Linked DNA regions of Drosophila melanogaster. The protein of the gene in region 3 interacts with the protein of the main gene of each other region in a pairwise test. Each region holds a gene or a part of one and is shown on either strand. Other genes may lie near its edges. The genes, in order: CG1598, CG10996, pip and por.

Evidence for each region.
Region 1: the proteins of pip (region 3) and CG1598 interact in a two-hybrid assay, tested with the Drosophila melanogaster proteins (one large-scale study listed by BioGRID).
Region 2: the proteins of pip (region 3) and CG10996 interact in a two-hybrid assay, tested with the Drosophila melanogaster proteins (one large-scale study listed by BioGRID).
Region 4: the proteins of pip (region 3) and por interact in a two-hybrid assay, tested with the Drosophila melanogaster proteins (one large-scale study listed by BioGRID).

Annotation. Positions count from the first base shown.
Region 1 is NT_033778.4:7,537,732-7,545,487, reverse strand, and holds CG1598 (uncharacterized protein), read left to right. Parts: upstream 1-5,791; 5' UTR 5,792-5,897; coding exon 5,898-6,010; intron 6,011-6,073; coding exon 6,074-6,191; intron 6,192-6,275; coding exon 6,276-6,716; intron 6,717-6,775; coding exon 6,776-7,114; 3' UTR 7,115-7,256; downstream 7,257-7,756. Other genes in the region: Gpo2 (glycerophosphate oxidase 2), read right to left, coding at 7,305-7,756. UniProt on the Drosophila melanogaster protein: ATPase required for the post-translational delivery of tail-anchored (TA) proteins to the endoplasmic reticulum. Recognizes and selectively binds the transmembrane domain of TA proteins in the cytosol.
Region 2 is NC_004354.4:13,794,482-13,801,872, forward strand, and holds CG10996 (uncharacterized protein), read right to left. Parts: upstream 3,158-7,391; 5' UTR 3,139-3,157; coding exon 1,960-3,138; 3' UTR 1,908-1,959; downstream 1-1,907. Other genes in the region: inaE (inactivation no afterpotential E), read left to right, coding at 7,198-7,292.
Region 3 is NT_037436.4:19,333,078-19,341,789, reverse strand, and holds the start of pip (pipe), read left to right. Parts: upstream 1-4,180; 5' UTR 4,181-4,359; coding exon 4,360-4,448; intron 4,449-8,712. UniProt on the Drosophila melanogaster protein: Sulfotransferase involved in dorsoventral axis patterning in early embryos.
Region 4 is NC_004354.4:18,375,829-18,384,267, reverse strand, and holds por (porcupine), read left to right. Parts: upstream 1-4,413; 5' UTR 4,414-4,514; coding exon 4,515-6,092; 3' UTR 6,093-6,141; exon of another isoform or gene 6,142-6,218; 3' UTR 6,219-6,747; downstream 6,748-8,439. Other genes in the region: betaCOP (coat protein (coatomer) beta), read left to right, coding at 1-805, 1,010-1,665, 1,725-1,886, 1,955-2,228, 2,299-2,404, 2,495-2,560; CG6179 (uncharacterized protein), read right to left, coding at 3,035-3,106, 3,169-3,277, 3,338-4,080; CrebB (Cyclic-AMP response element binding protein B), read right to left, coding at 8,217-8,425. UniProt on the Drosophila melanogaster protein: Protein-serine O-palmitoleoyltransferase that acts as a key regulator of the Wnt signaling pathway by mediating the attachment of palmitoleate, a 16-carbon monounsaturated fatty acid (C16:1(9Z)), to Wnt proteins.

The DNA.
Region 1 (7,756 bases), on a different chromosome or scaffold from region 3:
TTTCACACACTTTTACAGTTAGCCTGCATTGGTGTATTGTCCTGCTGCTTCCTCTTCTTCAACTGCTTTAAATTTCACTCAAGTTAAACTCTCTCCCCGCTCGCCCACTCCCTTCTCTCTGCCTAGCCCAAAGCGTTAGTTGTTGTGATACTAGAGCTGTGTGTTGTATATTCCGTGTGTAGCTTTTCAACTGGCTGCTCGGCTGCTGATGCCGTTGTTGTGCTGTTGTTGTGGGCCACTACAGCTTCTGCTACTACTTTTTGCTGCACGCGCCGCCTCGGTTAGCACGTGCTGTTGGCCACGACGTCAGTCAACGACAACCGCCTACGCACTGCAGGCGCCGAATCGGCGACGCTGGAATTTCAATTACAATTTTCACAGACTCAAACAGCCTCTCTCTCGCTCTTTGGCCACAGGACCTTCTCTTTGGCAGTGGTGAGTTTGCCGGTAGAAAGAGAGCGCTTCAAGCTGAGGCATCCGAAGTTTTTGCAACAGTGGATAAGTGGATTATTCAAAAGCTTAATGCTTTCACTTACAGTTGAAAGTTGAAGCCAAATGTTCTGGTTAAGTCCTTCATAGAAAGGCACTAATAAAGCCGGTAATGTTTGATACTCGAGGTAACATCTACAAAATGTTTACTTTTGTACATTGTTTTGTACAGTTATTTAAATGTTTTAATAAAAATAAATAAAAAATTGCGTACACGACTAGGTGCACCTCGCAAAAAGGCATTTAAATAACAATTTAAGTTTAGGTATCCTTATACCTAATGCATTGCACTATTAGAGACTATTACCAGGTCATCAAAATAATTTCGATATTTTAGGTTTAAAGGTCTTTTTATCGCGTTCAACACTGCGTATGATCAATATTCGAAGACGAGTGCATTTCACTTTCCTCAGATTGAAAGTGAAATAAAAACAGATAAATTAAAAAAAACTCATTTGTTATATTATTTACTGAAGATTAATTTGCTAAACAATGTCTCTTAACGCAAAAGAGAGAGCGGGGTAAAGAGATAGAAAGCGAGCGCCGAACTCACCACGCTTGGATGGCTGTGGAAGGAAAGTGAAAGCCATTTGCCGGCTGACAGCTGGCACCCCTCTCCTCCTTTGGACTCTCCGCTCACACCCACCATCCGCCAAGGTGAGTGAGCAAGGCGGTGATGAGAAGGGTTGGCGGGTTCACCTCTGCTCGGATAATGCGCTTTGTGTGCGAATTAAGATTCCATGTTGTTGGCTCCTGCTACTGTGTGGTGTACTTGCGTTTGCACTTGTGTGTGTTTATTTCCCTTGATGCGCCTAGACCTCTCTTTCACTCGCCCTCTCTTTATAGTATCGCACTCCCAACTGAGCGAAAACTAAAGACAAAGGATAACGCAACAACAAGTGAGGAAGTCATAAATTTAGCCAACGGTTAACAGGTGCAATTGAAATGTTTGCCCTTAGAGACAGATAAATGCACTGACTTGCGACGCCTGCAATCGTGTGTGTGCGCATCCTTGTGGCGCCACAAGCTACAAAAGTCCTAGAAACAGTTAAACAGTTATCTAATGGTGATATATCATTTAGACCACCGGAAAACGTATTCCTTAATTGAATTTTGTGTGACTTTTGAACTTATCAACGAGTGCGCTAATTATCCCCAGCAGAAGATCAATCATATTCAGCGCCTGTCGACCCTTGCTCAATTTATCAAGACGTGGCCTACTCACCGCCAAATCCTTGACAGTCTGCTGCAACTGGATGTCCTCGAAGTGCACTGTTCGACGGTTAGGGCCCAATTCAAAGTCACGGCCAACAGCGACGGCCCAGAGCGGTCGCTAATCGAAATTCCGCAACGGAGTGTCGCGTACGGTGGAAATTTATGCAGAAATGCGAGCTGTGAGTCAGCGGGATTTCAGCGAGGGAAAACTGAGTGACGCGCTGTCAGCGGAGCTCGGAAAACTCCGTTGGCAAGACAGCCTGTTGCATGCCACCCGACGAACGCCCACCACCCACAACCCACTTCGGATGAGTGGCAGTTTGGCGTGGCGTTAATAAGCGCCTTCTCCCACGGCAAATCCCCCCAAAGGCCACTTGAACCGGGAGTGCCCACTATGCTGTTGTTTAATGAAAGCTTTCATCACAGGTTGTCCATTAGGTTTGAGTCTAAGCAAACACGTTGACCCTTGGAAAACCCCAAATGGTTAATCACAATACGGACCAGCGTAAGAGAGCAAGATATTCGGTCTTAAAGCAACTGGGAGCCCTACAATTTTGTACCTTTTTGTGGATTGTTAAAAATATTATACACAACTCTTTGACAAACCTATTCTAAGCAAAAAAAAAACGAATGTTTTTGTTTAAATTAGTTCAATGATACACAATAATACATATGTATATATAATTGTAGAAAGAATATTTCGTTGAAGGGGGTAGTTTGCACCACAAATGAAATAATGTTTTTGTAGCGACTGTGAGTTACCCGTTAATCAGTTAGTTAAGCGCTAAATAATAAGAGATATACATTCAATAAAGATAGCGCTGAAGTATGCAAAAATGAAAAGCATTAGCTTTTCAATAAAATGAGTCTTAAAAGTCGATAAATAACGTTAATGGGTATCTGATAGTCGAGGAAATCGACCGTAGCGCTCTCTGTCTCGTTCTTTTTAAGTTCCAGACCTGCCGAAAAGTGCATTTGATATCGAAGGCTTTGTGGCAAAGGCCTATTAATTAAAACTTTGTTTCCATAACGCTCCTTTTGTTAGGTGCCGTGAAGAATTTTAAGGCTCCAGTAAGTCCTTCCCTCGCATCCTCATTTTGGAGCTCCGGCATATTGAGAGTGCAGCAGCGAGGAATGCCATAAGGACTCCAAAACTTTCCACTTGCCACGCCAAACTAATCGGATTTAATTTAATTAGTTGCTCAAAGACAGCGAGCTGCGGAAAGTGGAAAACACCGGCGGCGACGCAAGTTGTATGGAGAAGTGCGGAGACAAAGTACTTTTTCATTACAGTTTTCCAGAACAGGGGAAAGATAGCCGCATGTCGCGCGGCAAATTGTCAGGTGCTAAGCTTTGATAAAGTGAGCCCTCGAAGGACTCGGAGGACTCAAGGGACTCGAAGGACAATGAATATAAAGCTAAGCTCGGCCAGGTGAAATGCGGCGAAAAAGCCCCTAACAAAATGCAGACAGAAACATTTATTAAAAGCGGCGCGCGAGTGCCCATTTCAATGTTGGTTTTTCTACGGATCCAAAACATACATTCTACGTTTATGCGAAGTGTTTTTATGGTTAGATATGTTTTTAAGATAATGTATTTTACAGAAATTAAATTTGCAAATGCAAATTAATTTGCATCAAACATAAAAAAATATCCTCTTTAAACATAGTACCATTAAATGAATTTAGCTTTTTATGACAATAGCTAATGTCGCTTATATAGGAATATATGTACATACCTTTTCAAAGAATTTGTATATTGAAAAACGACGTCTTTTGACTTAATATTTGATTTAGTAACACCTATGTATAAACGCATTTTTAACAAAATTTCCGTAACAAAAATGATCAAAAACAAACGTAATATTACATGTTTGGATAAAATATTAAAAATTAAAAATTAAATCTAACTAAGAAAATCAGCAAACCATGGCTTGGACAAAGGATCAGTTTCCAGATTCAAAACCAATTAACGCATAAACTACATACATACACATTAAAAATTTTGAATTCCTAAACTTTTACACATAAACGAAGCGATATGTCTTTCCCCTGCCCTTTCACCATCACAGGTCAAAGTTTCCCGTTGAAAGTTTAGTATGGGAAGTTGCGGGAATAGGTGCCAGGAGGTGGGGGAGCTCAGGTAACGGTAACTGAAACGTTCCCATCGCTGATTTCAAGCAAATTAGCCGTTCATATGTGTGTGTGTGTGTGGGAGCTGGGTTTTTTGTTTATGGAAAGTGTTATTGTTTGACTTTGAACTTTCCGCTTGTTTGCTGTCCTTGCGCCTGTGGCTGTGTGTGCGAGAGTGCGAGTGTGTGCTTTGGACCAAAGCCGAGAATGGCCCAAACAATATAATAAAATTTAATGCGCTCATATTTCATGGGCCAACAAACGCACGCACGCACAGACAAAAAGCGGATCTCGAAAGCCCAGGGCTGGGCAAATAAATAAATCATCCAGCCAACTTTATCGCTTTATTTTAAAAAGCACTGCCAGAATGATTGAATCGTTTCAGTCGCATAAAACGGATTTACACGCATATGAGGCAAAAACACTCTTGTTTTTTCACCAAGCGATTTGTTCTCAATTTTTTCAGTTCAACTTTTAACAGCCATAAATGGGTTTTCAATAAGCCGTTCTGTATCAAAATAAAAAAATATTTTTGGTTGTACAATATATTTTCAGCTTGGCGATAAGTTAATATCAACAAATTGTCAAGCGTGTGTGATTTTAACGTTAATTGATCTGTTTTTAATTTAGCTGCTTAAACAGGCGATAGGAAAACTTTCTCATCAACTTTGATAACATTTTTCGCATTCAATATCGAGGAGTATGATAAACTTTCTTACGTATTCAGGCCCACACAAGTGGGCACAGCGCAGAACAGAAATTAAGTGTTAAAGTTTAACTTTAAGGTTCACAGTTATCAGTTTTTTTAAATAAATCAACAGAAAAAAATATAGTCAACTGTCTCAACTATTAGATATACATATATGTATATTTATAATTGCAAAAAAAAAGATAAAAAGGGTTTTGTTCAAATATTACATTCATCTTGTATATTTTTTTGATGTAATATCGTCCAAACCAATGGCCCATTAAATATATATATATATATATATATCCCTTCCATCTAATTTTTGTTTAAATACTATACATTTTTAAAACTATATTAAAACTGTATTTATCCACTATCAGTATACATGCATGGAAGCAGTTTTATGAAAACAAACAATTTCTTTTATTTGAGTACATACCTTTGTCGTTTATTAATTTAATAATCCCCGTTAAAATGATCGTCTAAATATATCTGATTTAAGTGCAAATCAAATGTTATTTTCAATAAGTTTTATCCAATGTTTGCAATCCACTCACAATAACATCCACAGAGTCACTCAAAAATGGTCTAGCTCTTGGAATAAGTATTATTTTACAGCGCAGCTTCCGTATTCTGTGATAAGTTGAAATAACTCTATATACGCCGAGTTCAGTAAACGACAAAACTAGGCGGCAATGGACGGAAATCGATGTGGTTTTGGGGTGAAGCCCATAATGACACGAAGATACCAAAAATCGAAGCTATTTAACGCGGACGCCCAACGGCGAAGGTGTTTTCACAACTATTTTTAGTAGTCCATAGCCACTTGGGTTTGTGCTCCCTTGCTGCTCGCATTTTCTCGCCGACACTTGGGTTTTGATAAGCTCGCGATTTGCACAATTAACAGTGATGGGTAGAGCGGGCGCGGGGAACACGGGGACGGGTCAAGCATCCGCGGCACTTATTGTGATTTTCTTGGGCTGCGAGCGCGCTTTGTGCATTTAATAGGCACGATAAAAGCGGCGGAGCTTTGAGCATGTACGCAGCAACAGATTTGAGAATATTTTTTTGCTATTGTTATAACAACAACAATTAGTTGAAACTTATGTTAGTTTCACACCGCTGGCAGTTTTGTTCTCACTTTTGTCAAGTTTATTGAGATTTGCAAAATTTTATTTTCAAATAATTTTCCTTTGGCGCCAAATGAGCATCCATCCCTGGCAGTGCTTCGTGATCAGCTGATTTTAGTGCCTATCAACTTATACGTATGCATACTAAAAACGGTCACTCTGCACGCCAGAAGTCATATTCATTGCTTATAAGCAATTATTAATTTCAACTAATTTCATACGTGTCTCGCTTTAGTGGGCATTATGGCCGACAATTTGGAGCCCCTGGAGCCCAGCCTGCAGAATCTCGTCGAGCAGGACTCCCTCAAGTGGATCTTCGTGGGCGGAAAAGGCGGCGTGGGCAAGACGACTTGCAGGTAAAACAACAACAACAAGCCAACTTTCTCGGTTGATCTAATTAATCTTCGTGTTAAACATAGTTCTAGCCTAGCCGTTCAGCTGTCGAAAGTGCGCGAATCCGTGCTAATCATATCCACAGATCCGGCGCACAACATATCGGATGCATTCGATCAGAAGTTCACCAAGGTGCCGACAAAGGTTGGTGGAAGAATCCGGAAATGAAGTCATTTACCATTGTATAAGCTAAACTAAAGCACATCGCAATTCCTTTTCCGCAACCAGGTAAATGGCTTTGACAACCTGTTCGCCATGGAAATCGATCCAAATGCCGGTCTCAACGAGCTGCCCGAGGAGTACTTCGATGGCGAAAATGAGGCGCTGCGCGTGAGCAAGGGCGTCATGCAGGAGATGATCAACGCCCTGCCCGGCATCGACGAGGCGATGAGCTATGCAGAGGTTATGAAGCTGGTCAAGGGCATGAACTTCTCGGTAGTCGTCTTCGACACGGCGCCCACGGGACACACGCTGCGTCTGATTGCATTTCCCCAGGTGGTGGAGAAGGGGCTGGGCAAGCTGCTGCGGCTCAAGATGAAGGTGGCGCCCCTGCTGTCACAGTTCGTCTCCATGCTGGGCATGGCTGATGTGAACGCTGACACACTCTCCCAGAAGCTGGACGACATGCTGCGCGTTATCACCCAGGTCAACGAGCAGTTCAAGAACCCAGTACGTAGAAACATGTATTTAGCTCGTACAACGCCTAATCCGCATTCGTCCTTCGGCAGGATCAAACTACATTCGTCTGCGTGTGCATAGCAGAGTTCTTCTCGCTGTACGAGACGGAACGACTTGTGCAAGAGCTAACCAAGTGCGGCATCGACGTCCACAACATCATTGTAAACCAACTGCTGTTTCTGCAGAACTCGCACGACTCGTGCAGCATGTGCGCCTCCCGCTTCAAGATTCAGGAGAAGTACCTGGACCAGATTGCCGACCTGTATGAAGACTTCCACGTAACCAAGTTGCCGCTCCTCGAGAAAGAGGTGCGCGGTCCAGAGAGCATCCGTTCTTTCTCCGAGAACCTTATGAAGCCCTACAACCCCAAGGGCGAGCCCAAGGAATAGGATAGCCCGTCCAACCCTTTACCCATCCGTTTGTAAGTTTCTTCCTTAGTTTGTGTGAACAGAAAGTGCGTAAAATAAATTAAAGTTGAGGCAGCGATCCCCGAAGGGATCTGCTTCGACGTGTAATGCGTAGACAACGCTTAACGGATGCAGTATTCCAAACTGGAGAGGGTTACAACGAATGATACTTTCAAAGACCGCCCCCGGCACGCTCCATTTGCATTACGGTGGGAAAGTTGCTGCCTTGCATCTGCCTTTTGTGGTCCAGATACAGCCGTGCGTACCGCAGGTACTCGGTGTTGCCCTGCACAATAGCCGACATGAGCAGAAGGAACTCATACAGGTTCACCTTGCCCTGGGCATGGACATCAATGTCCCGCAGGACATCGTGCATCAGGTCGACGGGCACCTCCTTTACGCCCATCGTTTTCATTGCCTTGCAGCAGTCTGCAATCGACACGTACCCCGTATTGTTATCATCCATTTGCCTGAACTGCCCGGCAAACTTGCGCACTTGGCGCACGCTCATCTTAATGGGAATGCTCATCTGCGAAGCGCTCTCCTTGGTCAGCTGGCCCATCTGGGAGTTAAGAAAAGTTCGCGTCTGGCGGATCTGCTTTTTAATTTGATCTCGCGACCAGT
Region 2 (7,391 bases), on a different chromosome or scaffold from region 3:
TACCCGAAATGGTTTAAAATCGGAATAATATATACCAAATTGCAGGACAACCATAAGCTGCGAGGTGGAAATTCAATTGCGAAATGCGGAAAAGCGGTCCCATAACGCCACTAAACACCAATGGTATCGCCACAGGGGTCCAGCTAAATTTAGATCGATATTCCCCGTTTCGTCCCGTCCCGCTGGCCTTCGCTTTCGCTTTTTATAGACTTTAAGAAAATGTATTCGCAGGCAATGTTCGCTAAATTTAGTATTACCAAAAGCAAACAGTCAACAATCTGGGGTACACAAAACATCAGGTTACATTTCCAATCGATCCAAAACGTGCCAGATGCCCCATTAGCCGCATATTCATGTTCGAGGGTAGTTCCATGAGCTTTACAAACGATTTTCCTGCAGGTTGATTGCGTTATTTCTTTGGCATTTCCGCTAATTCATTAGCTTAACTGAAGAGCTGAAAACTGTGATACGTTTTCGAAATGCCTTAATTGTTGTTGCAGTTCTTGGAATTCATTTATTTGTTTGCAGCCAGCAGACATAAATGTAATGTGCTGGAAAATCAGTGTAGTTTCATTTATCCTTTGTAAGCACTTGTTACGCCACGAGTTTCCAGGAAATGGGAAACAAACAAACTACTGTTCTATTAACTAGCGCAACATCCTGCCCATTTCCCTAGTAAGCTTTGTAAGTTCTTTATTGTGTGTTATTTTGTATAACGACTTAATAATACAGAAATGCCTTTAACAATCATTTATAGAATATATGTTTATTCTATTTGATATAATAAATAACTCAAATATACGTATAATGTGAATATATGTTTAATTTTATACAGCATAGCCAACTTTTTCATTATACTAGACTAGCCTTGAAACTCCCTTTCCATATCAAGCATTACCGAACAAAAATGGCAAACATCTTTAATACGCACCGATTTTTCGAAACGTCCTTCTCTGCGCTTCTCAAAGGGTATACATAAGAAGACATCAAACGCACGCATTAATTGAAACATATCTCTTCGAGAAATCCTTAATAACATGAAGTGTAGTTTAGAGAACAGAAATCCATAGAAAAGAACAATTTTTTTTTTTGCAAGTGTATATAGAGAAAACAGTGGGGTATAATGACCATTCATACCTGCAGTTGTTGTAATGGGCTTTCGAGTTGCCTGCGAGGAAGCCTCGGCATTGTTCTTTCCGTCCGTGCCGCTGGTTCCATATCATGCCTCATTGGCGCCACCCCACTGAAAATATAAGGATGGTGTGCAAATAAATGCAAAATCATGGCTCGTCATTCACATCGACACCGCATCGTCGTCACAGTCACAGAGTCAGTCATCCTCGTCCATTGTCGCTTAAAGTTCAGTTCAGTGAGGCCAATGGCAATGGTAATGCCAATGTCAAAGTTACTGGGCCTTTGGATTGCGGCTTTGGTTGCTTCAATAAAATCTGTCACCGAAATGTGTTCCATTTAAAAGGAGAGACTCGAGAGACACATCTTTGCAAAGGTTAGCATTTTAAATTGGCTTTCTAGCAGAAGAAGGCCAAAGAAACATTCTTGAAATAAAATAGGGTTTCTGTATGAAAATAGATTTAGAATGTAATATCCAGTCGTTTTTGTTTTATTTGTGAAGATACAATGGCGGTCATTTATTATTTACTTTTTAGTCGTTCTCCTTAAAGAATCCAAGTTTCATTTAATTTCATTATTAAATATTTTGACCTATTTAATAATGTACAGCATTTTAAAATTCCTTTGTGCGATAATATATACAAATGGCATTTTAATAGAGAAGCAAATTTTATTTATTCAATGATTACTCGACTTAGAAAATTTTTATTACGTTGAGGACACAAAGTTGCTACCATAGAACGCACAGTTTAATGGAAGCGCCCTTCTCTGCGATTCTCAAACGGCCTACATAAGTAGCGGCCATTCAAGGGCCCTTCTCTGCGCTTTTCAAACGGCCTTTGGTTTCCGCAGTGGTTCTTCGCCCAGGGCTTCCAGTTCCTCCGGATCGGCACAGCATTTCCACGATTCCTGAACGCCAAAATGGTAGATGGTTTCATGGAAATAATGCTCGCCCGGATTGATGAAGATGCGTGGAAAATCCGGCTGATTTACGGCATCCGGATAGTTAAGTAGCTGAAGACTAAAGCCACAATGTTGCCAATAGCGGGTGCACTTTTTACCCAATATTGGTGGCTCACCAAGCGGTTCCTGGGGAAAACAATTGCCGGTGGTGAATTTAACACACGGCTGATTGCTGAATATTTCCATAAATCTGCCCGAATCCGGATGCAAAAATCTGCCCACATAACGCGTTCTAATTGCATCAAACTCCTTGTCGAGAGCAAAGCAAACATCGTAACCCTTTACCGGTTTCTTTTCAAACTGACGCACTCGGTCGCCCATGAATACTGGCAATCGGATATCGTATACGGAATCATTAACGTTCTTAAATCGACCCGTGGGAAGTCCGTCGCCATTTGATGTTTCCATCGTTTCTATTGCCTCAATATTGATTTGATGGTCAAAAATGCCCTTGATTCCGGTAGACTGGCCAGCCAGATTAAAGATGATATGATTGGATATATTTACCGGCGTCGTTTGATTAGTGGTAGCTTCAATTTGTATAAAAAACCGATTGTCGTCATTTATGGTGAAGTGAAGTAATACTTTCAAGGTCCCAGGATAACCTTCGTGTCCATCCGGGGATATATGACGCAAGGTGACGCCATCCGGTCGTTTCATTTCCAGATCCCAAATGACCTGATCGAAGCCCACAAAGCCACCATTAGTTTGGTGTTTCTGGCCGAGATTTTTGGATACAACGACACGTCGCTCGTCCATGATGAACTCGCCGTTGCCCACCACATCCGAGACTCTGCCAATCGTGCAACCAAAATGATAATTTCTATATTTCGTATACCCGGCAACATCATCGAATCCGAGGACCACATCGGACAACTGGTGATAGGCATCTGGCACTTGAATGCTCTGGATTGTTGCGCCCAGCTGGATGATGGCCACGGACAGGCGATTGGTGTTGGTCATCGTGTAGCGACGAATCACTTGGGCCTGTTTGGTAAACGGATTGGTCGCAATACCAAAGATGTCCTCCACAACCTTAACCATAATTAGGGATAAACCTTTTTTGAATTTTGAATTTACTTTAAATTTTCCTTCTGTGTGAATTTCTTTTTGAAAGTTTACTCAAAGTTGTTGAACAAAAAAGTGGGTAGATACATATAAAAAATATATTTTATAAAATAAAAATAAAATAAAAAATTCATCTGCCGATAAATCCGACTAGAGAGAGACTAGTGTGTGTTTCAAATGCACTTTAATCACGGAAACCAGCAGATTGCTAACAGTTCTCAGCCATGTCAATTTCAATTATTTCCTTACACAAGCTGGCATTTCAGTCTTAGATTGAACTGAATTGCAATTAATCTGTCATAAAGTGTAAAAGTTACCAACGTTTTCTAACTTGGAAGTGCACAGCGATGGGAACTTAATTTTAAGAGGCAATGCTGACAATTTAACTTCATTTCAAACGATTTGATGATTTAATTTGATGTGTGATGTGTATAAAGCTAACATTTTTATATCGAATTCTTTCCTTTACACTTTCAAGTAGATTCCAATAAAAGAACTATGATTTTGCGACCTTAGTCATCATCAGTTCAAGCGAGTTGTCACACTTGTGATTCCACAAATGCAACTTGAAGTTAACTGCAATACACACACTCTTAGTAAATTGACTTAATGGCTTATCATAAATCCAGTTGTTAATTGCACCCATCAAGGCTGTTTACTACGGATTCACCACTCAACTTCAGTTTCGCGATGCGATGGCGGTAATATCGGGGCAATTTGTTGATTCGAGGGCATGCCACCTGTTCGTACATCGCACTCTTGCCGAGGCATAGATAAATTTCTTGCATCGCGACTATCTTATCGTGCGTTGCCTGTTGGCAGTACCCAGAACGCAGGTCATCACATCCGCGATTCATTCGGTAAAAGATCGATAGAGGTGTGTGATTTACTATAGGACCACGGTGTACAACTATCACACAGGGAACGTAATCGAAAAATTGGTACGAAATGTGCTAGCTACGGATGATTATTCAGCCAATAACAGTGACAGGAATTATCATCATTTATAATGGCAATAACTGAATAATTGAATATGCTGCGATATATGACGGAGACAGAACAAAATAATGATTGCCATCAATTACTTTGCCCTTGCCCCATTACGGCTTCTTCGACAGCTGCGTGGTTTTTCACACTACACTCGCACAAATCGTGTGTAGTCTCGGAAAAGCAATGCAAATTGGAATGAAAATAGGAATAAATGTGTTTGGGCTTCAAACATAAACATATCTCTTCGATGAACCCTTTAACACCTTGATAACATGAAGTGTAGTTTAGAGAACAGAAATCCTTAGAAAAGAACCATTTTTTTTTGCAAGTGTACATAGAGAAAACAGTGGGGTGCATTCATACCTGCAGTTGTTGTAATGGGTTTTCGAGTTGCCTGCGAGGAAGCCTCCGCATTGTTCTTTCTGTCCGTGCCGCTGGTTCCATATCATGCCTCATTGGCGCCACCCCACAGAAAATATAAGGATGGTGTGCAAATAAATGCAAAATCATCGCTCGTCATTCACATCGACACCGCATCGTCGTCACAGTCACAGAGTCAGTCATCCTCGTCCATTGTCGCTTAAAGTTCAGTTCAGTGAGGCCAATGGCAATGGTAATGCCAATGTCAAAGTTACTGGGCCTTTAGATTGCAGCTTTGGTTGCTTCACCTTTGATATTTGGCCTGGTCTGCCACCGGATTCGCTGGCGAAAGTTAAATGTTTGCCGATAAGAACAGCCAGTTGGATCAATAGCCTTGAAATTACGCAGCTCGAACTTTAAGCTTTCGACAGGTAGGTAGGTGATAAATATTGCAGCAATGAAATCTGTCACCGAAATCCGTTCCATTTAAAAGGAGAGACTCGAGAGACACAGCTCCATATCTTTGCAAAGGTCAGCATTTTAAATTGGCTTTCTAGCTGAAGAAGGCCAAAGTTATAATTAAGATCGAAAGGTTCTCGACTTGGTACTTAATATTTGATGGCAGAACACAAGGGTTAAAACTGAAGAAACATTCTGGAAATTAAATAAAATAGGGTTTCTATGCGGAAGTTAATTTAGAATGTAATATCCAGTCGTTTTTGTTTTAGTTGTCAAGATTCAATGACGGTAATTTTTATTATTTACCATTTAGTCGTTCTCCTTAAAGCATCCAAGTTTCGTTTAATTTCATTGTTAAATATTTGGACATTTTTAAGTAGTTTTTAAATTTATTATCTTTTCGATGTTTACCTTATCCATAAAACGGACAAAAGCATTTCTTATTGCCAAAACAATTTCGCATTTACAACACCGTTAAAGCCTATAATATACAGCATTTTAAAATTCCTTTTGAAATTTTCCATGTCGATATTATAGTTTGTTTATACATAGGTATAGATATTCTTTTATATACAGTCAATATTACTTTTGCTGGCTATGTAAATAATTATAACAATAATCACTGTGTAATAATAAGAATCACTGGTTGATTTGTTAAAATAATATAGCTAATAACATTTTAATGGATAAGCTCATTTTATTTAATTAATGATAACTCGATGACTGTTGAACAACACAAATAATAATTCGAAATAATGAAAGTCTACTACTAATGTTTATATAAACACAAATTGATTAGAAAACCATGGGTAGATAGCAAATAATAATTTGTATTATTATATGGTTAGCATTATTGAAATTTGCATTTCAAATCGTTCGAATGATCAAGGTCGTTAGTATATAGAACTTTAGATATTCAGTTCTAGTCGAGGCACTCAGCATGTTTATTATGTGCTTGTTTATGTTTATATTGACTGAGATCGTAAACGCATTTAGTCTATAAATAAGCGACTGGCGAAATCTTTGGCATTGTAATATCAAATGCTGATTCGGCACAAATGAACTTTGCAATCGCAATTGATTTAACGTATTGATTATGCCGCCGATAAAGACGGTGAATCATTTGCCACAGCTGGCACTCTCGTGACCGATAAGTCGATAAGAACACTATGCATAACTTAGCGCCATGACTTAGCTAGGTTATTTTGTTAGTTAGTCTTGTTAATACCCAAGTTTCCGGATATGCAAATATGTGAGCATACATTCCGTTCTACGATTGCCATGTCAGGAGCGCCTTATCGCAACCCGATGCAATGTCAAGCCAGCGATTATGGTGGGCTTACCCAAACATGATGACCCATACCACACCGCCCAACAAGTTGTTACACACAGAGAAAATATCCCTGATATTTGCTTTGCTTGGAGGGTTTCCAATCAAAATGTTTCGGAAGACAGAATAGAAGAACGTCTACTTTAAGAACAACTCTCTAGCAATGATGTTGTATTAATGATTGAAATAACTGGTTATTAAACCTGTTTGTTTTTTCTTTGTGTACCATTTAACCAATGTTGCTGCATTTCTTTCGGTGCAGTTTTATTGGTCACCCCTTTTTGGCACGCCCTGCTCATGTTTGACCCTGATTATGCTTTGCTTTACATGGCACTATTGGTTGACATCGGCCAAGTGGGTTGAAGTGGGTGGCGGGCGTGGTCGTGGGCGGAACCTTAAGCTGCTCCAAAGTCGTTCGCTTTGCATATATGCATGCAAGCATGACTGTACTGTACCACCATTGAGCATTTGAATGCTGCAAGGGTTGCCCCTTAATTTCCAACGGGATTACAATTTGGAGCGGCAGCTTGCAACCTTATGCGGTGCAATTTTTGAACAGCTGCGACCAAAGTAAATAAGTAAATAAATAAATAAGTTCATAAAATAATCATGATTGCTTTTGGTGTCAGGATCTTTCCCGGATCATATCGTATGCACTGCGTATGAGTGATATAGTTTAAGATTATCACTCATACGCAGTGTTGCACCTCGTTGAAGTGCATAATAATCACATTTCTGTGGGTTATGAAATTAGGTTTCTTTTTTTTTGTTGCGAACCTAATCTACTACTGATTATTTATCAATAATTTATTTATAAATCTTGTACTTTTTGGTTATTTAGATTTGTACATGCTCTTTAGTTTAAAACTAATTACTCTCGCTTCTTTCGATTTCAGATGCCTGGACTTGTGGTCTTCAGACGTCGCTGGTCTGTGGGCTCTGATGATCTCGTGGTGCCGGGCGCATTTCTCCTGACGATTCATTTTATATGGTAAGTAGCCACGTACCATTTTACTTAGTCATCGATTATTGTTCATAATTCTATTTCGTGTTTTTTTTCTTCTTCTTTTTCTTCAACAACAAAATAAAA
Region 3 (8,712 bases):
CAAACCGATTCCACTTAAGTAGCTGCAGTGAGTAATATTCCTAAAGTCAATAGACTTTGTAAAAACTACGAGCGAAGAATAATAATAAACTGTATGCAAAACTACCATTTAAGACACGGCTCATAACCCATATAAACAATCAAACTTTTGGCAGTTGCAGTAGGATTAAGCAAACAACACCAAGAAGAAGCGGAAAAGGACATAAGTACTTTATTTTATAGACACTGAACTAGGGCAAAAATTATGAAACTGAATACTGAAAGCAAAGCAAATACTGGCTGCAGTGGGAATTTTAAAAATTTAAGAACCTCTGCCACGCCGGCAGAGTCCACATCCATAAAAACCCATTAAAATTTCAACTGCAATGAAACTTTGCCGAAAAGCGTGTGTATAAAAAATATATGATTTAGCCAGCATAAAAAGTAAATGAAAATATATACATAAATTAAATCAAATATTTTCGGTTGGCATTTTTTGATAGCAAATAACCTAAATATTTATAGCTAAAAAAGAAAGAAAGAAAAATTACCAAAACGCACTTTGTACAATTTAATAAAAAACGAGCAGTTTATATTATTTCCAGACACACAGCATAGCATACACATACATATATGATATTTTACACACATTCGAATAAGAGATAAAATAATACCGAAACATATACGAGAGCGAAAAGAAATTAAATTAATTAAAAAGGGCGCATAGGCCGAAAATGCATTTTTACTGCCGCCAATTGAGGACAAAACTAAAAATCGAAAACACGGCCGGCAGGGCATTTGAATAGTTAGCTTTAAGCCCGGCTAAAAATGCTGTAACTACTTTGTTGGCCACCATTGTCACTCACACAAACTCACATCTCAATCATCAGTTCGGTTCAGTTCCTTCTCTCAACCAAACCAAACTATGGAAATTTCTGTGCCAACTGTGTTTAAAGTAGAATTCAAAGATAAAATACGAGATAAAAGAGGGGGGGCCGGCGGATGGAGAAATTGAATTATGACCGCACACGAAACATTGCATATAATTTATTTGAAATGTTCAAAAATAAAGTAGACGAAACGAGAAGAAAACGCTGCGCGATGGTAAATAACAATATAATACAGACAGCTGTGTAAATAGTCAAACTGCGTACAGTCTACGCATATTTAATTAAAAACCGAAAAAAAAACTGATAAAACTGAAAAAAGTGACGCAATGAGATGGAATTTGAGAAAGGAGATCATGTCTTAAGTTCCATTTCGGAATTCACCCGATTTTCATTTCCTTTCACCGTTCGATAGAGTAAGTTTCACTTGTATGATAAATAAAACTAAACCAAATATTTATATAGAGATATTATACGTATATGAAAAGGAAACCTTAAGTTAATGACGCACTGAATCAAATAGATGAAACGAGTATTTAAAACCAAGACAATTAAAACCAAAAGGAACTTTAAGCAAAATAAAACCGATGAAAAAATTAAACTGAACACAGAGCACCTTTCTCTATTAGCCAAAATTGCAAAAGTGGGTGGTTGGGCGTTTGATTTTCGGGTGGAATAGATGGGGTGTTTAGTGGGTGGAATGCCAACTGTTCCGTTTGACGCTCGGGGGAAAACCGTTGGCCAAACTAAGGCGAACTCAAATCGTGTCCAAATAGCTGGCAGTCAAGTAGGCCACAGATTTTGATTGCCCGCATCCGGGCAGCAATCGGTGGACATCCTCGAAAATTCGGAACATCGAACGAGATGCTGTTAAAGCCAAGCCAAGCCGGTAGCTCCAGGCGTGTGTTCTCACCGGTCGGAACTCGGATTGGCCGTGGGATCGGGTTGTGGCTATGGGCTTTCCATGTCCCCCGCCTCGCCCACGCTGAGCCCGCATAAAACATAAGCCACCGGCCTGGTGCTCGTGTGGTGTGTGCTCTATATCCCACAGATTTCGCCTCCTCCCTCGGATTGCCCAGTTCTCTGACTCCGTGTTTATGGCCGGCAGCTCTGTTTCTGGACCTGGCAACTCTGGCCCGTGGACTTGGCCAAAATGGCTTTGATGGGCGTGGGCGACAAAAGGACCGGAAATCGCTAACGAGGCGTGGTAAAGCAGTTTTTGCAGTAAGTTTGAATATCAAGGTAGATACTCAAAAAATTGAATAACAAAGCATAATCAAATTTAATGGAGGGATCTACCTTGAATGTATTTTGTTATTATTGTATTACAGCTTATCAAACTAATCACTAGTATGTTTGTTGCTTTTATTTATTATTAACACATTTAAATATCTGGCTATTAAAGTTAATAATTTTGCAGTTCTTTTTATGCCGTGGTCATTAATATACATATAATACATATATCTACTAAAAGTATTCACTCTAGATTAATGCAAATTGATGAAATTATTTATTTATCGTACGCACTTACATATAACATATACATATAATATATTAATTTAGAATTTGTGTAAATAATAAATTTATTTACCGAATACGATTTTAAATTTCTTTTATATATTTAAGCGGATGTATTAAACATGCCAACCAATTAACATGGAAAACCTCGCTGCATAAAATACACTGCCGAGTATTGGCCAAATATAATATATACGCACACCTGCCACAAACTCACACAATCAGCTATTTGTGTTTGCACCTAGGGCCAATTGCAGTTGTTTACAATCGAGTTGGCCAGCTCAGCGCAATCGGCACAGCCACAAAGGGACAGTTGGCAGCAAAAAACCATGGCATCGGACCGAAGATATAGCCAACATATTGTGAGCGACCACAATTGGACAGCTGATAAACTTAACCCGAAAACCGACAGCCTAACAACTCGTCGGCTTTTAAGTTTCGAAATCGGAGAAAGAGTCTGATCATTCAGATAGCTCAATTATCTCAGTCGATTTGGACAGTCATCAATGCAATAGGCAGCAACTTTACAAGTTTTTAGCTACTCACTTTCTTGGTACCAAATGCTGAAATACCTTTAATTATTACCAGATAAACACAAGACATGTGCCGCCAACGCATTTCGTTTTAATTTTACTTTTATGTTTTGGCTGTTTTTATGTTGAGGCTGGCGTTTTTCCATTTTTTTGCAATTGTTATCGAGAAATTTACACGAATTTTCAACTTGTTGCTGAAATAAAAAAAGTTTAATAAGACTAAACAATCAGTTTTTTGTCGGTCCTAAAAATGTGGACCTATGCAGATAGTTATGGGTAAACGCTTAAATTCGACAGCCGTCTGACGCCAGTTAGTGGACAAGTCAGTTACAGTGAGAGTTAAAAGTTAAGGTACCTGAAAAAGATAATTTAAAGTAATATATGATAAGACACACTTAAATAAAAGAGTAAAGGTATAAATATATTGAAATCTAGTATTAATTCTCGTAAATTAAAAATTCGTACCTCAATTTAATTTTTAAATGTTCTAATTTAATCGGAAAAAAGATTTCTTTGAGGCACTGTGCCATAAGAGTCAACTGTTGAATAAGGGTCAATGAGCTTAGCTTTGTGGACAGCAAGTGGGGAGATCGCGGAATCCAACTCTTGTAGAAACTATAGATTTGAGTTTGGCAAAAATTAAGCTTAGATCCCGAAGTTTGGCTAACGAACGAGGCGAGAAGACAGACATCGAGAAGAATCGCTTATATATGTACGAATGGCCAAAACTAATCGATGGAAATTACAAAAGCGGGAAGGTCAACTTTTCGACTGTCCATTGGGGGGGATGGGTTCAAAGGTAAACCTGTTTTTAATTCTAATTCTCCCTTCCTCTATGAAGAAATAGAAAAAACTAAAGTTCTTATTTTTGCCAACGTGGTTTGGATCACACGCAATATGTTCTATTCAACCGAACAAATTACCATTAAGGTCGGTAAACCAGCTGATCCAATAAAGGATATTGAAACAAGTGCCCGAAATTCGATTCCTTGCGCAGAGAATAAAGACACTTCGCTGTTTGGACGACCTAAATAAATATGTCTAAGTAGATTAATGTCAGATGTGGGGTAATAATAAAAATGTTGCCACAGACAAATGGGCTACAGTCACGTCCCCACGAAATCAGTCAGCCAGCGAACAAAGAGCGATCAAAAGAGCGAATAAACAGAGCCAAAGAGAGTCGAAGAAAATGGTAAAAGCAAACAGTGGTAAGCCGCCGCTGCCAACGTCTTAAAGTTGGCCAAAAAGGCGGCCAAGTGCCCCCAGGAACATTCAGTCAAGCCGCGATCGCCGAGCTCTACGGACGTCTATATCTCTAAGTCTTCGAATCGTGAATCGGAACTCAAGTGAACCCAAGTGCCGACCGGAAAATTCTTTCGGCCAAGAAAGGTCTTCGAGAACTAAGATCTCAAGCGATTGTGTTTTTTGTGTAATTGACATTGGATGTCTCTGAACGCCGAGCGATCGTACAAAATGAAACTGCGCGATGTGGAAAATGCCTTCAAATACCGGCGCATACCGTATCCCAAGCGGTAAGTGTGGTCTTCAGCCGAGAAAAAGGCGGCGGAGAAAAGATTTCTTTCACTCGAGAACGGTGTTCGTTTCAAAGGGGAAATGCAATTGAGTTCCAGTTTCAGTTAAATTGAAAACCGGTCATAATTGCCATTGAATGGCCAGAGAATCGAAATCGAGTTGGTAGATCGAAGATTGCGTTTGCCGCAGCGCTAAAGATTAAAAATACTCTGCTCTCGATTCTCCATAAAAAGCGCTTAACTTTCCGTTTTTCGCATCTGGCTAAAAGTGATAGTGTTTCAGGGTCGTTGTATTTGATAAATAAAATTAAATAAAAACTCCAATTGCTGGCCAGAGCAGTTCGAACATTCTTGACGGACTTTAAGTAGTGCCAGCCAGTAAATTAATTGCAGCTACACTAGAAGAAATAGATATTTTTGATCTTAAATTTAATATGAATCTCATCGACTTAGATGGGTTTATGTAGATCGACGAGCTTTAAGAACTTTATTTTAAAAAATTGATTGAGTACTTTTAATTAAGCTATGAAAAATTGTTACGAATGCTGATATGAGCTTCCAAGTACTGTATCAATTGAAAATATTTTCAAAAATTTATATATACAAAAAGGGGTCTATTATTTATCCTTTTATTTTTTTTGTATTTATTATTTATACTTTGAAAATGTTTTCTTATATTTTGAAGACTTATTAAAAGCAAGTATTAAAGCTTTGTAAACACTGTACTTCAACATTTAATTTTAAATGTTTCATAAACTTTTCTCTGTGCACTTGCGTCTGTCGTTTTTTCAATCTCTGCTCCAGTTAAAAGCTACAATCTTGTTTCTATTTTTTATTGCGTTTTTCATTTTCAATTCTTCTCATAATTCATTTGGTGTAGCACCTCGGGGCGGCAGATGAAGAGGAGGAAAACCACAAAAGCCGAGCTCACTTCAACTATTTCAAGTAGCCAAAAGAGCCGTGTCTTACCACCATCCTACCACTGCATTGTGTGGGCCTGCATTTTTCGGTGTTTGTTCTGGCCTTTTACAGAACCCAACTCGGCTCAGTTCGGGCCAAGTCAGCTCAGATAAAAGTTAAGAGCCCCCCAACTTGACTGCCCGCTCATTAGTCGATGGTCGATGGTCGACGGCCGGCGGTTTCTGCGGCCGCCCATAACAATTTTGGCTATTAAAAGGTGTTTAGGCCAGAGAACTGAGCCACTGCGTCCGCTATTGTGAAAGATTCGCTCTTTTTTCCGTTTGTATGGCCAAATTTGTTGCAACGAGTGCGTCGAGATGTAAACTAATGATATACCGACTACACATGTTATGGGCTAATTGGCTTTTGGGAAACTATTTCTTACCGTTTTTGTTGACTTTTTAAAAGGGTGTGAGAATTTGCTTTTCATTAAGGCAAAACGTGGTGAAGTCATGGCTCACAGCTATTTGCGTATAACTGTGAGATCTTAGCTCAAGCTAATGGCAAATTGGATCAACGACATACATATGTTTTATATTTTATTTAAACATTTTCCCACTTATTGAGTCCCTGCTAGATATCCTTTTTTCCTATAAAGCCCTCGTTAATTTTCGCGAAGCGAGGCCCATTTCCCGTTTATTTGCAGAACAAATTATTACATTAAATGTATGAATTACTGGCATTAATTAAACACATGGCTTAAATGTAGATATGTGTGATACTTTCTGTGGTTACCGCTGGCTGGAGCATAAATTTTACGCTCATTTTGACAATTTCATGCAGCTGCAAACTCTCAGTCAATCAGTTGGCCACTCAGTCAGTCTGCCAATCAATCAGGTAAACATTTATTTTTTATCCATTTCCGATGGCCAGGCGACTTAGTGAAACGAGTAATCTTGCCATTTGCACAACAAAATAGTGCAAATATTTGAATATGGATATGATTTATCACAACAGATACGAATTGTCCTGCAGAGAAACATAAATACATAAATTCCCAGCCATATTGCTGCGTACACTTACGTCGTTATTTGCACAATTCTTTTGTACGCTCTCAAATTGATATTAATTAATGAAATTAATTGGTTTTGCTTAAATAACTCGGCGACAGATGTTTGGCAGCTTCATTATCCGGACACGCGATAAATGAGCATACGTAGAAAATGAGTTCGTTGCACCCAGTTGAGAAAAATCAGTCGGAATCGATTCGAATCGATTTGAAAAGTCAAAAAAGACAATTATACGCTCAATGAGTGGAATGAAGTGCAGTTATGCAATAATTTCTTTCGAATTAGCATAAATTACGTTTCTGATTTGCTTTCCATTTGGATTAGGGTTTACCTAATACAAAAAACAAAACTCACTCTTATTTTCACTGCAAGCCGAAGCGTGACAGAAATTATTTAGAACGCCCCAAAAGAAAGAGGGCGAAGACTCAAGCCGCGCTTGAAAAGACTGTAGCTGGCTCTTCGCTGCCGAGTCTACAAGTCTTCAAGTCTTTCTTCTGTGCGCCTTTCTCAGCAATTCTTCTCTTTCTTGCCAGTTTCTTTCTTTCTCTGGGCGCCACGACATGCAGTCACTTACTCTTTGGTAATTATATTCAGTGATGTGATTTGTTTTTCTTTTCTTCATTTTCTTTCGAGTTTTGCATGCCGTTTTGTTTTATTTTGCCTGTCTTTCTGCAATGGAAATGATGCATATTGGGAATTTTACACGCTGCCGGTGGCCCGCGGGAAAGTTAATTATTGCTGTCTGTCTGCGGCGGGTGGCAAATTAAAAAATAATTATTAACAAAAACATATATATGTGCTAAATTTTATGTTTTAAAACGGCAATTAAAATGTTTTTCTTCACACACTAAGAAACAAACGAATTTATAGCTGTAGGGTTAAATACACGACTTTCTTTTTTATGGTTTACAAATATTTAGGAAAATATTATTAAAAAAGAATGAAACAAGTGAGTTGGGCCTTACGAGCTTTTTTCCGCTTACACAATCTTGTTTACACTCTTAGGATTTTTAACAGTGAATTAAGCGAAACAAAAATATATAAAACCTATATTAAATGGAATACAATTATCATATATAAAAAATTATTTTCAAAATTATTAGCTGTGCCAAAAACAAACTTGGCTCTTTAATATGGTATGTTTACCCATCCAATTACATATATTTTCAAAGTTTACAGAATAACAAGAGCACATTTTGAGTGCTTTTAAGCCCGTATTTTACACAATTTTCGTAAAACTTCACACCTAACCCGCATGATCAGGTGAAACTGTAGGCCCTCTGCCCACATATGACTCCCTTTTTCACTGATAATTTCGCACGCAACTTTTGGCAAGTGAAAGCCCACAAAATATTCACATGTTTTGTATACATTATAGCAATTTATGACCACAGCCGTTTAGCACCTTTCAGAAGAGATGACCGGCAATTTTACTGGGCCAATTTCGGAGAGCAACAAACGCCCACCGGTAGTCACTAACTATGTGGCTGTTATTAGTTGGCCATAAAAACAAAAACTTCGGTTATGGCTGTGTGGACATCAAAAACAACGCCCTCTCCCACGAAAGAGTTTTTCTACATTATGTAAAAACGGTCGAATGCTGGGCGCAGAGTGGCAAACACAAAATGCTAAAAAAAAAATTCGCAATATTTTTAGCACAGTTTATGTATTACGGAGGCTCTATAAGAAAGCCAAAGCCAAAGCTGATTAACACAATCATGTGAAAAATGTGCAACACTTTTCGGCTAAAAATAAAACAAGTGCAGAGATATAGCCAGACGCAGCAGACAAGTGGAAATTATGTGTATAGCTTTCACTTGATTTACAAATATGGGCTGCGGGACAAGGGGGCGTGGCCAGCAATGCGTAACAGCCAAGTGATGATGACAATGATGAATTTTTCTTTTCGTCTTCTGACGGACTTCAAGTTTCAAGTTTGCCAGGTGTAAATTGATGGCCAAAAAGGTGAAGTTGAACGAAAGGTGCATCTAGTTCAAAGTCATTGAGCATGGTCTTTAAAATGAAATAGTCATGGGTGTAATCAAGGTAAAGGCTAGTCAAATGTTTCATAGGGCTAAGTTGAGGGACTTGTTGTTGTATTATTATTTTTTCAAGGGTATACAATAGCTAATAGTCCAGCGCCCAGGTGGCGCATCTTTTCAGTTTTGTACAAATGATCATCAACTAATTACCCTTTCACCGCGCTGATAAAAACAATGAAGAAAACTCATTAATAGCACTACAGCCAACATGGTCCCCTAATTTATTTAGGCACTTCCTTGCCCGAAAAGACT
Region 4 (8,439 bases), on a different chromosome or scaffold from region 3:
TCAAGGCGGCGGCCAGTTGCTACATCGAACTGGTGGTCAAGGAGAGCGACAACAACGTCAAGCTAATCGTGCTCGATCGCCTGGTGGCCATGAAGGAGCACGAGGGCATGGAGAAGGTGATGCAGGATCTGGTGATGGACGTTCTGCGCGTCCTGGCCGCACCAGACATCGAGGTGCGCAGGAAAACACTCGCGCTGGCCCTGGACTTGGTCTATTCGCGTAATATTGGCGAAATGGTGCTGGTCCTCAAGAAGGAGGTGGCCAAGACGCACAATGTGGAGCACGAGGACACTGGCAAGTACAGGCAGCTGCTCGTCCGCACCCTGCACACCTGCTCCATCAAGTTTCCCGATGTGGCCGCCAATGTTATACCCGTACTGGTTGAATTCCTCTCGGATACCAACGAACTTGCCGCCGCCGATGTGCTTATCTTCATACGCGAAGCCATCCAAAAGTTCCCCGCCCTGCGCGCCCTCATCATTGAGCATTTAATTGAGGCCTTCCCGCAGATTAAGTCCTCCAAAATTCATCGCGCCGCCGTTTGGATTTTGGGTGAATACGTGGAGGGCTCGCAAATCCTGGAGGTGATTGCCGTCATTCAGCAGACGCTGGGCGAAGTGCCCATGGTGGAGGCGGAGCAGCGTCGCTTGGCCGGCGACCAGACCGAGGAGCAGAAGCAGCAGCAGGGATCCGCAGGCGGCAATGCAGCTGGATCCGCCGCAGAGGGCTCTGGCTCCGGAAACGCCAGCAACAAGGTCACCTCCGATGGAACCTATGCCACCCAGAGTGCCTACAGTCTGGCCCCGTAAGTAATGGCTACGTGTACGTATATCATGCCACCAATGAGGCATTCGAGGCTTGTGGCATTGCATCAGCTTGCACTGATAAGTATGCCTCTAGCTAGACATGCCCATTATCTATTGTTCGGCAATGAGTCATCTTAATACGTAGCACCTACAAAATAGTTGTTTGCAGTTCTGATTCTAACGCTGGTTAATGCTTTCTGCAGGGTGGCCAAGGCGGAGAAACGTCCGCCATTGCGTCAGTACTTGATGGACGGCGACTTCTTCATCGGCGCCGCTCTATCCGCCACGTTGACCAAGCTGGCACTGCGCTACGCAGAGCTGGAGACGGAGGCGCGTGCCCAGAATCGTCTGACCACGCAGGTAATGCTGATCATGAGCTCGATACTGCACCTGGGCAAGTCCGGTTTCCCTAGCAAGCCCATAACCAACGATGACACCGATCGCATCTTCGTCTGCCTGCGCACGCTGAGCGAACGCACGCCGGAGGCTATCTCCGTCTTCACACTGTACTGCCGCGAGGCTCTGGGCAAGATGCTGGATGCGCAGCACGACGAGGACCAGCGCATGTTGAAGGAGAAGCAGAAGGCCACCGCCAAGGTGCAGCCGGACGATCCGGTGCTCTTTGCACAGCTCTCGAACGGACGTGACAATCAGCTGGGCGAGAATGTGTTCGAATCCAGTCTGAACCAGGCGTTGGCCGGCAGCAAGAACGCCCAGCTGAGCGACGTGGCCTCGCCGAACAGCAAGCTCAACAAGGTCACCCAACTGACTGGCTTCTCGGATCCCGTCTATGCGGAGGCCTACGTCAATGTCAATCAGTACGATATTGTCCTGGACGTGCTGATCGTCAACCAGACCAGTGAGTAGTGCATCTTTAGGCGAAAGGGCATCGCTTTCAATCCATGAAATCACTTTCAGACGACACGCTACAGAACTGCACACTGGAGTTGGCCACATTGGGCGATCTTAAGCTGGTGGAGCGCCCGCATCCAGTGGTCCTGGCTCCGCACGACTTCTGCAATATCAAGGCCAACGTAAAGGTCTCCTCCACAGAGAACGGCATCATCTTCGGCAATATTGGTGAGTTGCTAATTGCGGAATTCGCTGTTAAAGTGCACTCACGCTCACTTATGGCGCTTAACCAACAGTTTACGAAACCGCCCTGAACACGAATGTGGTGGTCCTCAATACCATTCACATCGACATCATGGACTACATAATTCCGGCCAGCTGCACGGACACCGAGTTCCGTCAAATGTGGCAGGACTTCGAGTGGGAGAACAAGGTCACCGTCAACACCAGCTTCACCGACCTGCACGAATATCTCAAGCACCTGCTGAAGAGCACCAACATGAAGTGCCTCACGCCGGAGAAGGCGCTGTCCGGCCAGTGCGGCTTCATGGCCGCCAACATGTACGCCAAGTGAGTGTCCAGCTGTCCACTATGGAGTAGCCATCATATTCTCATCACAACTCATCCGCTCACTTTGCAGGTCCATTTTCGGAGAGAATGCCTTGGCCAATCTGAGTATCGAGAAGCCCGTCGATGATCCCGATTCGAAGGTGACGGGACACATACGCATTCGCGCCAAGAGTCAGGTGAGAGTCGAGCACAAACCAGCCGCACATCTGCACATGGTCATGCGCAACTTTCTAATCCGTATTCCGTATTTCGCGCCTTTCACACAGGGCATGGCCTTGAGTCTGGGCGACAAGATCAGCTCCTCGCAGAAGCAGTCGGTGCAGGCGGCCTAGTGGACGTGGAACTGGACGTGGACGACCAGCCACCAGCAGGAGCGACGTATCTAGACGACGTACTCGGCCACCTGCCCGCATTCCGCCAGCTGCAGCTTCTTCAATTTACATTACACGTTACAATTATACATAAAGAATATAATATTATACCTTAACCCCAAGATTGGCAGTGGTTTCATTTGACGGGGCTGTTTCCATAGAAATTCGGACTACTGGTTAATTGGTTGTGTGGTACGAGTATCAGTGTATTTATTTTGTTTTTTCCTATTTAACAATAAGTATGTATGCACTTCGTCTTGCAATAAACGAAAAGGTAGAATTGGAACAGATAAAATACCCAAGTTTTGTATAAGTTATGATACACAATTGTTTTAAAATCTGGAGAAATAATTGATTGTTTAAACTAGCTAGTGCTAAAACGATTACATTTCTATTGAAGTGCTCCCAAGTAGCTGGCGGCTATATAAATTCGTCTTAGGCCTGGAGCATGGGCCGTTTTTCCTTGGCCTGGAGGTGGTCGTTCGTCGTTGCGTAGCCAGTGCCGCCCTGTGAAATAGTCGAGAAACCTTAGCAATGCAGAATAGTTGCACAGTTCGCGATGTACTTACTCGCTGCAGGGGAATGATGTCCTTCTCCTTGAGCTTGCGATCCGTGAGCGGATGGATCATGTCCTTTCTGATCAGCCGTTCCACGCACTCCATGGTCACCACATCGCCACTGTAGTGAAGAGGTTACTATTAAAAGGGTTTTCAACGCGAAATCCCAGCGAGCACTCACGTGGGACGCAGCACAGCGCAGGGCACCGCGTTGCTGAGCACGTCGTGGGTAATGGGGCACATGTAGCGCGCCTCCTTGGCAATCAGCGAGCGCTTCGTGTCGCCGTCCTTGAGCAGCGTGAACTTCACATCAATCAGATCCTTGACTCGCAGCGGTTTCTGCGACACCGGGCAGTAGATGGTGGCGTCGGGCTTCTGGGCCTTGGCTAACCCGGCATTGGGGCACTCGGAGGGCAGCCAGAAGCTGGGCAGCTTCTTCTCGTGCCCGTTGGTCATGTTGGATATCGAGGATGCGGACGAGGATTCAGATGAAGCGGCAGCAGCGGCGGAAGAGGTCGACGGCTTCTCGCTGGCAGCGGCCGAGGAGTGGGCGGGTGTCATCGCTGGCTTCTCGGCATTAACAAAGCGCTCCATGCGCGCCTGCTGCTTGCTGTTGGCCTCCTGGCTCAGTTTATCCTCCTCCGCGCGCCGCAGACGCTCGTACTCCTTCAGTCGGCGGCTGTACTCGTTCTTCTTGGTCACGATGTACTGCAGGATGGCCTCCTTGTCGAATAGATAGCCATCCTTGGTGATCACTGGCCTGCGACATGGTTGCAGCGTCAAGGAGCAGCAGTCGAAGGATTTCACCGAATCCTTGCCCAGGCGCTGGGCATTCGTGCCGTAGCCGGACTCCGCCGCGTCACGCTTCTTCTCGTTGTAGGTGTACACGGCTCCGGCCGTGCAGTTACGTGCGTGGCGAGTCATTTCAATAGAGTTTCCTGGATTTGGCAGCGAAAAATTTGAATAAACTGCTTAAAATAGTTTATTTACTGCTAGATACGGTGTGACCGTATCTTGATCACTAAATAAGCTGAGACGCAATGGAAATCCGCTGAAATCTGCCAACTCAATAGCCGATAAAAACAACGAGCTATAAGCTGATACAAAACCTTTTCATCACTTGGTGTACAAAACAAACAGTTTTACAAGTTTAATACATTTTTTTTTATTTTGATTTTTAAAACTGTTTAAGCTACTGGTATTTTCAGCTTAGCTATAAACTAGCTATGAGTTCGAAGCCACCGATGTGGTATTTTCGGTATATTGCGCGGTATATTCTTTGCAAATAATTCCAAGTCCTCGGATTTCCGGGTTTTTCCTTGATTCCCCCGGATTGTATTGGCTTTGGGCGGCCGGCGATGGACTACCAGTACTTCGAGGAGGAATCGGACTACATTGATCTGGACGAGGAGGAGGAGGATGACGACGTGGTGACAGCCGGCAGCTTGGACCACAGATTTGGGCAGCCAAACGGCGAGGAGGACTATTATTTCGGCGGGGACGATGTGGAGGAGGAGCTGGTGGTAGATGGACACGGTGTCCTGGAGCTGGCCGGGCGCCTACTCGAGAGCCTGCAGAGCTGCGTGCAGCCATCTGTGCTGCAGGTCATGCAGTATGTGGCGCCCATGCTGCTCCTCTGCCTCCTGTGCCGCCTGCTGTGCCTCCTCTACTCGCAGCGCAGACGCCTCACCAGCCTGGCACCGCTGCATTTGTTCCACTTCGCCTGCGGCTTGATTATACTGCAGATCACGGTGGGCTACCGACTGCTCCTACTTCTCCTGCTGGCCGCCGTGGGCTACCTGCTGCTCCAGCTATTGCGACTGGGACGAAGAGGAGCTCAAGTTCTGGCCGTTCTAACCGTGGGCAGCCAGTTCCTGTACGAACTGCTCATTTGGCGGCGGCGCAGTGACTGGCCACAGCTGCGCGGCATCCAGATGGTGGTCAATATGAAGCTTATCTCGCTGGGCTTCGACCTGACCGCCAGTGGGCAGCTGCAGGCGAGGATTCCGGGTCCGTTTGCCTACCTGGGCTACATCTACAGTCCGGCCACCTGCGCCTTGGGGCCCTGGGTGAGCTTCGGCTGCTACATGGACTGTCTGGTGCCACGGAATAGCTGGCTGGTCAGCCTGCGTCGCCTCTTGCCCAACGTGGTGATCTGCGTGCTGGCCGTGACCGTGTCCAATTGCGTGGCTCCGGCGCTGAGTGACTTCTTCGGGGATAGCTCGCACTTCCTGGTCATGTACTGGGACGCACTGAGTGTGCGCAGCAGCCACTACTTTGTGGGCATGATGGCGCAGGCGCTGCTGGTAGCCTCCGATCAGCGACTGGACGGTGCCACCAAGGAGTCGGACATGCTGGGTCCGTTGATCTCGCAGCCCTGGCGCATCGAGTGGCCGCGCTCGATCAGCTCATTGGTCCGGAGCTGGAACATTCCCATGCACGAGTGGCTCAAACGGTACATCTACGCGCCCTGCAAGCCCACCGCGTCCACCTCGAGGGGACGCATCCTGGTGGTCGTGCTCTCCACCTATCTGGTGTCCAGCCTGCTGCACGGCATGGATCTGCGCATCTATCTGGTGCTCATCTCGCTGGCGTTCCTAGCCGAGGGTGAATCGCTGCTCAGGCGGCAGCTCGCCAGCCTCCTGAATGCCTGCATCACTGCCAATCTGTGTCCGGGCAAGGAACGATGTCGGTATAGCCACTGCCCGAGCAAACGGCGATTGAACTCCCTGTCCTACTGGCTGGCGAGGCTCACTAATCTGGCATTCACGGCGCTGGCCATCTTCCACCTGGCCTATCTGGGCGTCGTGCTGCTGGGCGATGACCTGGAAGTCGGCGAGGATGGCGACTCCTTCCTGTGGCACTGGCAGCAGGCTGGCTATCTCAGCCACTACATCGGTTTGGGCACCTTCGTCCTTTACCTGTTCATCTCGTAGACTCCGCAGGATCTTGCCGTCGCCAATACTCACTATGACTGATCTACACGTATTTATATTTGTAATCCCAAGCGTATATGCGCTTGTACTTTTTGTATCTTGTATCTATCTATTCGTATCTTGTAGTCTGTGTGCTGTGTGAGTACTTAATATTAAAGCATTCTGTGAAACGGACGCTGTGACGCGCTTCAATTTGGGTTCCTCTCAACTTCCAGCTGAATGGATAGCACTCCTGGGGGAAACTGGAACAAACGAATTTCCAACTGCCCCAAAGCCACCCCATCCATCCTGATGAAAATGCATACGAATTTGTTCAAATATTTTTTATTGATTTTTTAATGTATATTTTTCTTTGTTGTTGGTTTTGTTTTGCTTTTGTTTGTTTGTTGGTTGGTTGTTTTCGTTTGTTTGTTTTCTCATTGAGACAAATATTTATAACAATATTGTAATTTCTACAGATTTTTCGCCTGCGTTTGTATTTGCCATCCTTTTAGTTTCGGCACGCGATTTATTATGAATCCTTTTTTGTATTGGGCTGTGGCCTATCGTTTGTGTTTTCATTTACTTTGTTTTTCCGCGCTTACGATTTAGTTATTAAAAGTACTAGCTTAAGAAATATGCAATGACAATAAAAATATTTTTATTTACTTTGTTGAATGCAACTTTTGTTGGTTTCATTTGCCCTTTTTTCAGCGTTCCCCCTTCTCTGACTTGGCCAAAAAAAGCTGATCTCCTCCAAACTTCGCCCTTCGTTTTTGTTTTTGCTTGTGTTTCGGTTTTTTTTAGATTTCTTTTTGTTTACTCTGCTTTCCATTTTTTTTTCTCGGAAATTTGGATTCGGACATCAAAAATAGAGCGATATACAATACAGGGTTTTCTTATGGTTTCATTTCCGTTTCCGGTGCTTCATTTCGACATTGTTTCCGTTGCGCTATGCTAGATAAAAAAGTTCGATCTCTGTACCCGAATTCATCATTAATTTATCGTATTTGTCCGTCCCTTCGTCTCTTTTCTACCATTTCATAACAACAACTGAGTCGATCACAAGAGATAACGAGAGTGTTTGCCATCTATATATATATATATATATATATATAAATAGATATATAGATATAGATATATAAATCTGTAGCCACGCGTGTGTTCCGGCCAAGATCGTTCCCTTTCGATTCCGAACTGGATTCACGGTAGCGTGCAGAATTGTCTGCTTAACCAGGTTCTTTGGGAGCGGAGAGGGTTCGTTTAAAATTACGTAACAAAGTGTTTGAATATTTAACTCCATGCCCAAATCCCAGACAATCAATTCATCCATTCGATTTAAGACTAATTCTACAGATACACATTGGCCGGCACACACGCATATATACATACTACACGCACACGCATATGTAAATCAAGTGAAACTAGCGACTTTTGAACAATTTTAATTTGGTAGGCCCAGAAAACCCATCTAGAAAGGACTCTGGTGGATTGGGCAACCTGCTGGTTGACTATATCCTGACATATGGGCACACAACAACAATTCGCTAAGAAAAAACACTTTCGCTAGACACGCACGTTCTGCTGCATCGATTACGAATTAGGTAAAACAAAAAATTTAATTACAATAGGTAAGGTAAGGTAAGGTAAGGTGTGCATGCGGGGGGGTGTGGTGAAAGGTCTTAGGTTACGGAAACACATGTTCGTAGGTAAACTGCAGTATCGTTAAGTTAGCGAGTAAACTAGGGCATAAACTAAATCGTAAACATAATATTACATCTTTAAATTACAAACATAATTACATTGTGTGTCCGGCAGATAGACCCTCTGTCCCTTCCATCCGGTTCGGTTCGATTAGGTTTGGTCCGGTTCGGCCCGTCTGCATCCCAACAACAACAACAACACGATCCCCACAGTTAATGTACACGCTACCACATGCAGCATCCCATGCGTATAGAAATCATGATATGCGACCGGCCAGCGGCAAGGATCGATCCACCATTGTTGTCCAGAACAGAACGGAATAGAACAGAGCGGAGCGAAGCGCAGTGATCGCCGTAACCGTAACCGTAACCGTTGCCGTAGCCGTAACCGTAGCCGTAACTGGAGGCGGAGGCGCAGGCGGCGCCAGAGCCCCGCCCACATTCAATCGTTCTTGGTCTGACAGTAGAGCTCCTTGAGCGACTTCAGCTCCTCGATGAGCGCTTTGTTTTGGTTCTCTAGCACCGCCACTCGATTCTCCAGGCACTTGATGTACTCCTTCTTCTTGCGCCGGCACTCACGCGCCGCCTCCCTGTTCTTCTGCAGCCGGATCTCGCGCTTACGGGTCTGATCCTCCGCTATCCCGCTGTTGTCTGCAAAAGGAAAA